2 linked regions of the Xenopus tropicalis genome follow. The protein of the gene in region 2 interacts with the protein of the main gene of each other region in a biochemical or structural test. Links are inferred from orthologs where the notes say so. Each region holds a gene or a part of one and is shown on either strand. Other genes may lie near its edges.

What was found. The genes of interacting proteins can lie anywhere in the genome.
Region 1: the proteins of ube2m (region 2) and dcun1d5 form a complex in vitro, tested with the Homo sapiens proteins (3 studies listed by BioGRID). The link is inferred for Xenopus tropicalis from reciprocal best matches to the Homo sapiens genes UBE2M and DCUN1D5.

The regions. Positions count from the first base shown.
Region 1 is NC_030678.2:161,537,018-161,540,960, forward strand, and holds part of dcun1d5 (DCN1-like protein 5), read left to right. Parts: intron 1-2,134; coding exon 2,135-2,243; intron 2,244-3,168; coding exon 3,169-3,273; intron 3,274-3,943. UniProt on the Homo sapiens protein: Contributes to the neddylation of all cullins by transferring NEDD8 from N-terminally acetylated NEDD8-conjugating E2s enzyme to different cullin C-terminal domain-RBX complexes which is necessary for the activation of cullin-RING E3 ubiquitin ligases (CRLs).
Region 2 is NC_030683.2:103,017,244-103,021,186, reverse strand, and holds the end of ube2m (NEDD8-conjugating enzyme Ubc12), read right to left. Parts: intron 2,475-3,943; coding exon 2,371-2,474; intron 1,604-2,370; coding exon 1,540-1,603; intron 586-1,539; coding exon 445-585; 3' UTR 81-444; downstream 1-80.

The DNA of each region.
Region 1 (3,943 bases), on a different chromosome or scaffold from region 2:
GTTCTGCCCCCAATAAGGGGTAATTATATCCTAGTTGGGATCAAGTACGTATTGTGCAGATAGTTTCAGGCATAGCAAGACACATCAACCCAACAAAATAATTTGTTGCCTAATATAAGAAAACATTCTAAGCAACTTTCAAATATACATTTATTGTAAATTTGTAATGGTTTTTAAGTTACTTGTATATATAATTGCTATTAAAAGTAGTGTTTGTCCTTTTCTATTCTCTACCCTGGGGGCTCTGACTCGGCAAATGCTGCTTTCAATAGCAATAACATTTACAAATACCTTTAAAAGCACTAAAAGTTTTCATGAATTTATATGGAAAGTTACTTAAAATTATGTTCTCTTTTATTAGGCTAACAAAAAATATTTTTTGGCTTGACATGTCCTTTAGGGACAGGACTAGCTGAGCCTCGAGAGCACTGGATTTTTCTTAAATGATCCCTTAAGTCTTTGATTGGGCCTTTGTGGGTTTTTGGATTTTTTTCTTTGTGTGTATAGTTAGGCCACTTATACACTGCATGACAGCAATTGTTTGGCCACCTGTGGAGTTTCCAGCCTCACAATCACATTTTCACAGTCGTGACCATGCCAGGGTAATCATGGTGCAGGCAATTGTTGCTCGGAAACATGGCAGTTAGTAATTTCGAACAATAATTGCCTGGCACTCGATATGTTCTTAGCTGGCAGAAAAGCACCCAGAATCATCTCTTGCCTCCCATTGACTGTAACCTAGACCCACTTTTCTTGCTATTAATAAAGGCCTTTAGGTTGGGGGGTGGAGAAATGGGTGGGTGGGGATAATGGGTGGGGCAGAGGCTGGTCTCTATATAAAAGGGGGTGATCATCTGTGGAAAGAGTCAGGGAAGGGAGGGATTATAGGTAGGGTTCCTGGCACTGGCCCTTGCTGGCCTGAAAGCGCTGATGGTAGTAGAGCTGGGCGGTATGACCAAAAATCTATATCACGGTATTTTTCAAAATTATATCGGTGTCACGGTATTTGACGGTATTTTTTTTTTCCATGCATGATTAGGTGTTAACCCCATTTCCTAATAAATTAGAGAATAATTACTGCAGTATTGAAAATCAGAGTCAGGCAAGCGAAGGATCGGCAACAGAAAGTCGTAAGGTAAATCAGGCAGGCTTAGTTTCCCAGGCAAGGCCGCAGACAACATAGCACAGGAGGAGGCGTTTGATAGCTTTAAATACCCCCCACGCATGCAAAGAACCAGCGCGTCACGGACGTGCACACTTTGACATGTACGTGCGCTTTGACGCGCGTGCGCAACGTCCCGCGGACAATGGGACGCGCGCACCCATGCAAGGAGGGGCGCGAGACCGGGCCGCACAGGTGAGTACCCTGACACCCCGGTATTGCGGTATCTGAAAAATTAATATAGTTTTAAAAAAAAAAAAAAAACACCGATATTCGGTATTAAACGGTATATCGCCCAGCCCTAGATGGTAGGGTTGCCACCCAGCCAATCTGGCATTTCACATTACAGCCAGAGGTGGCAGGGTTATTTCTGGATCCTTCTTTGGCAATGGCACCCCCATTATCTCCATCCCCCGAATATTCACAGCACAGCAATTATAGTGGTTCTTACACGCCACGGTATTACTCACAGCATGCATTACTGCATTTATTCTGCATTATTTATTGCATTATTTATTTACTGCATTATTCTTTGTTACTTTTGTCTTTTGTTACAATACATAAACAATACACAGTTATCGGAGTATCAAAGGTCTTAAATTTCTGTTTCCTTCAAGCCCTGTGTTAGCCTTCTTTATATCTGACTTAAGCAACTTGTGACTTCCAGGGAGTTATTATTTTATAGGAGCTAGTGTAAACAATCCCAACATTCCCACCTTTATATCTTTTAAATTGCCCAGCTTTATAGGTCAATTTCAGAGGGCTTATTCACTAACCTATCTACTCTTAGGACTGTGACTAATACTTTAATGTTTTCATATATGTGTGTAATTTTATTATGTGTTAAGTGGGGGCCTCAACAACTGAAAAGGGGCTTGAAAAAAGTATATTATGGGTTCTTGCTGGTTCCTCCTTAAGTTGCAGGTGTTAAGCTTCTTGCTAATCTCAATTTTCTGATATTTAATGTTTAAGATGTGACTGTACCGAGAAGCTGCAGAGTAAATTTGATTTCCTACGCGCTCAACTGAATGATATCACAGCTTTTAAGAATATTTACAGATACGCATTTGATTTTGCAAGGGTAAGTCTGAATTGGATTCATGCAAGAATAACCGCTGACCCCCTGGGTTCATCATACAAAAAACATCATTAAATTGTCTTTATTTAGAATGAAAAACAAATTTGAAACAAACCCTTGGCACCAATAACTGCAGTTTGGATCACTATTCTTCCATTATTTATCCCAGCATTCCACACCACTTTTGCTGTTTAATAAAAATATAGAAATATGTTTTTCTTCCATTAGATTTCTTCAAGGGAAACTATTTTCCTGTTTTTATGTATAAATGCTTATGTATTATCGTTTTTCCCTTTCCAAGCATGCTTGGGCGTCCATCACAGAAGTACCCAAATCATCACTGATGAAAGACTGTTACATTTATATATTGAATTTGAACCAACAGCGCCACCTGCTGTTCAAGTTTGCTGAAAATTTATTTCATGAGAAAAGCAAAGTCGTGTAATGTTTCTCTGCTAAGAAAATGTAGCAAATGAGCAGAGAAGAGTCAGTTCTAAGTAGAGCAAATTCACAATTCCTTGTTTTTCTCATAAAATATGTTGTAAAACATGTAGGCAGCAAGTTCATTATATATAGCAGTTTTAAAGAAAAATAATGGAAATTGCAGAAGAAAATCAATTGTACTTTCATTTGTTTTGTTTTAGTTTTTTTTTTAGTTTAGTTATTTTCCCCTTAAATAAAAAGATTTCTTACTGACACATAAAAGGTTTCTTTACCCACAATGTTCTTTTTAAATGGGTTTAATGGATACAGTTCATTGTGTAATGACCCACAAGATCTCTCCCATAGTATAAAACCCTTAGTCCTCTACTAAACGTTGGTTCTGTGTTTCCTTGGGGCAGCTTCCTTTCAATAAATGATAGTGCTTCATTACCTGGCATTTTTGTAACAAATAAGCACACTGTCCATTCATTTTCCTTTACTGCAGGACAAGGACCAGCGAAGTCTGGATATTGACACAGCAAAGTCCATGTTAGCTCTCTTGTTAGGAAGGACGTGGCCCCTCTTCTCAGTGTTCTATCAGTATTTGGAGGTAAGAGGAAGCAATGGATCTTTGGGTAGGAAAACATACTAACGTTATGGGCATTTATAAAGCAGCACATGTAGCATAGGGGCTCTGGCTTTCTCTCTTTTCCCCTATTTCTCCCATGTTCCCAAGTAGAGGCCCAACCAAAGTGTTCAGAGAGTTGATGTTGTTCATGAGAAGCGATTAAAGGAGAAAGAAAGGTAAAAACTAAGTAAGCTTTATCAGAAAGGTCTATGTAAATACAGCCATAAGCACTCACAGAAACGCTGCACTGACTTCTCTGTCTAAAGATTTGTTGTGTCTGTATTTTATGTGCCACAGACACGCAGCTCTCTGCTTTCTCCTCTCTCCTGCTCCCCCCTCCCTCAAGAATGCTAAGAACTCACTCCCCCCCTTAGGAATGCGGGTCTGAGCCAATCAGCGGGAAGCTGACTCATAGTCTTACAAACATGTACACTTGGTCTGGGTGTCTGAGCAGGAGTGAGGCATTATGAGAACTTTCTTTACACAGCTCAGCATTTTTTATTCCTGTTTGACTTCTGATCATCTGAACAGGTGAAATATGGGGAGACTTAAGGGCACTGTTGAGACAACTGAAGGTATGCCTGCAGCTTGAGATTAACTCTTTACTAGCCTTTCCTTCTCCTTTAAGACTCTGATAAATGAAAGTTCAGTC
Region 2 (3,943 bases):
AAATATATATATATGACTCCTCTCAGTTGATGACTATCTGAGTCATCAAGGGCCTTCAGACAGCAACAAAGAAAATAAGGGAAGGCAGAGGAAATATATTTATTAACCTAAAGATAAACAGATGCTCTGCATGAGAAAAGAAGAGCAAGGTGAGGTAATGAGAATTCAAACAATGGCATTACAAAGGTACGGTAAAAGTCAATCTGCACTCAGTGTTCCCCCTTCTATAAAAAGGGCTAGCAGCAGGACCAGGAGACACATGACCACCTTGCATATTTCCTTCTACATCAGGAGCTCAGGCTGGGTTTGTGTTTTTTTTTCTCTTTTGGGAGGGTAGGGCAGGGAATGAAGGCAAGATAAATGAGCGATGGGAGACATAACTGGGTGAGGGCAGAAAAGCTGGTCAGATGGATGGCGGGTTTTGCACTCAGAGCTGCTCAAGTTCTATTTCAAGCAGCGCTCAAAGTAGGTGGATCCTATGTAACCACCCCGCATAGATCGCTGCACATTCTGTTCAAACAGGCGTCTGTTGTTCTGAAGAACCTCAGCAGCTTCTTTATTTAATGGGTCTTCAGGGTTTGGCTCCTAGCACGCAAAACAAATGGTCAATGGAAGCAAATTGTGGCATGCACAGGATATCGATACAGACAGACATGTTTAAGAAACACTAGGGCTGCGGTTTCATATGCTTAGCTCTTTAGAAGCTGCAACAAAAATGCCTGATTTCTGCCTTATGTTCCTTATTGCTTATAGTCACCCAGTTTGTTTTTCTGATACTGTGCTCATAAGGAGGCCCCATTATACAGCATGTAGCAAGTAAAACAGTAAATGGATCTGTATGAAGCCATGGGAACTCGGAGCTGAATGCTTCCGAGCACTGACAGCAACACACGCCATGAGTTTTAAGAAGGGTGCGCAGTATATCAAGATGGCCACTACTACAGCATGTAGCAAGTAAAACAGTAAATGGATCTTGTATGAAGCCATGGGAACTTGGAGCTGAATGCTTCCGAGCACTGACAGCAACACACGCCATGGGTTTAAGAAGGGTGCGCAGTATATCAAGATGGCCTCTACCTTTAGTTAAGTTACTGCACCAGGATCTACTAGCTCTATTGAAAATGCATTATTACACATACAAAATATATAGGGGGCCTGATGGATTCCAAGCAGATCTAAATTTCTAACTGCCAACTTTCCTGACTGTGTTGCTTTAAGCAGTCAAACACACTCAATTTTAAAAGGCATCCCTGCTCATCAGCAAGGTTAAAGCATGACTGAATCCTTGCTTCCCGATATAAATTGTCTGACTACTAACTGTAACTCACTGTAAGGGCAATGACAGTCAGGGCATCTTGTTATGGTGACAAAAACACCTCAAAAGCCATTCTATTGCTGGGAGGGTGAATGGCTGCAAGCAATGTAATCACATGAAATGCTTTACTTGCAGCGATTCCTGTTAAATGCAGCAATAATATTATATATGTATATACACACACACATATGCATATAATGTGGTTTTAAATGTATCAAACTTACCAAGAAAAGATACTGCAGGCCATAAATTATTGAATTTATTGTGAGTACAGGCTTCCAGTCCTCTCTGTATGGAAAAAGAGAACAGAAATTCACACGTGCAAGAGAGCTAATATGGCAGAGGAACTGAATCATGAATGCAAAGCAACAGTTTACATATGTATGCATATAGTGTGCCAACAAAATAACTACTTGCTGCAGTTGGATGATCTATGGCTGGATCCTACAAGATGGATGCACTCAGGGGGGAAGGTTGGGCACATGGTGCAATTTCATTCATATGATTCACATAGAAACGAATGGCTCCCTTTTAAACTTGTACATCCAGCTATGCAGGCATCAAGGAGCAGCTGATTCTACCATATACCGAAACGACCAGCGCACAAGACTATGGCAATCTGAAGTTGTTTCACACCATGCATTCTATGCTGCCGTACCAGGAAGATACCAAAAGCCAGGAGGAAGTATAAATTGTCCATGACCATAACACATCCTGGTGGCATCAGAGAACACAATCCAGCCCAGTGAAAGCAGAGATTGTAAGGAACCCAAAGCTTTTATTCAGTGACTATAAATCAACTAGAAACTATCATGTGTTTCATCCAAAATGAGAAGAAATTACCAAATTTAAAGGCAACAGAGGGTGGCAGACCTGTTGGCACAGAACACGCACTGGCACTTACCATAAAATGCAATTTTGCAGATTCTTGTTTTTAAACAAATATATTTTATCAAATGAAATCTGTTGCAGACAGGTTTCCCCAGCAGAGGGCGTGCTATAGCTACATAAAGGATGAGCAGCAAGCTGATGAGTAAATAATAAAATGTGCATACCTTAGAATATTTAAGCAGACATTGCCCTCTAGGTCTATATTTGGATGATATACCATGGTTTCACATTTCACCTTTGGAGGGTCATGTGGGTAGCCCTGTCCGACCTGCAAGCAACAAAAATTAGGCAATGGATAACAATAAAATGCTCATTTGTCCCTGAAAGTATTACTTCACAAAGCAGCAGAGTGCATTTATATAAATAAGCAAAATATATCACAGGTCTAAGCATCAACACAAATTTGTTCAAGTAACTGAAATGTTGGCGAATTTTCAGTAAAAACACTTTTGTTTTGATGCTAAGACCTGTAAGTAAACTATATTTTGCTCATAAGTAAAGTATATTTTGCTCATTTTTAACCAGCACCCAGGCAATGGACCAGTATATGTGTACATAATATAGACCATATGGCACCCCCAGCTTTATACAGATTAGCCCCTTAAAGCAGAGCTTTACTTACTGTGGCTCTGTGCTGCAAATCCTGCCCTCTTCCCAATGAAGCCCAAAACAGTGCATGGGGTCCAATTGGGGTTATGTTTCGTATATTTCAGTGCCACTGTATAAGCTAACAGATCTAACTAATAGATCTAACAGTTCACCTTGTTTCCCATTTCCTCTACATTCTTTGCCTGAAACACTTGTCAGACTATGGCCTCATCACTGAGTCAGTACAGAGAAAGCATGATCTCCAGCCCGCCAAAATGACCGAATGCAGCAGCAACAGCACCCAAAGCAATATGGGAGCAAATACGAACAGAAATACAACCCAAAGAAATATAACGCATAGGGAGGTTTTATAGTTGTGTTTCTCTCAGGAGAAAAAGAATCAAAATGCTCAATTTGCACCAGTGTTTATGGCCTTTCCAGGTCTGTGCCAAAGGCAGCTGCTTGGATAGAGAGATGATGGGACCTATGCTACTGAGCAAACACACAAATCAAACACAGAGCTCCCGCTGATGCATGGAGTCGGTGCATCCATCTGTCCCTTACAGACTTAAAGGCAAGCATTTATACATCTATATATCATGTACAATATACACAGGTGCCCATGGCCAGTACACAGACAATTTATAGATTTCATTATGGTTCCTTCCCTCTTATTGTAGAGATGGCAGATTAATAAAAGCAAATGATAACACACCCCATTCCATTTCTCAACGAGAAAATATTGTGAAAATATTAATTTCACAGCCTTGTGGTTAGCCCGAAAATGTTGTATTTTAAAGGGGTGGATCCCCTTTTAATAAACTTTTACTATTTTATAGACCGGGCTATTCTCAGCAAGTATTCAATCTGTTGTAAAAAGTTACATGGTTACATGGTTTGCTACTATTAAAAATCAGCAGGGTTTGTCCCGCTTAAACAAGTCCTGTTGTGCCGGTATTTTTGTGCTATTTGGAACGTGGTGGAGAATGCCGGTCTCTCCAAATTCTGGGCACCAGGCGGAACAGAGTGGAAAGGCCAGGGTGTGCTGGTGAGTGTGGATTGTCATCCAAACAACTATTTCCCAGTGAGTTTACCATTTTATTGTTCTAATTATTACTTATCTTTCTATTCAGTCCTCTCCAGTCTTAA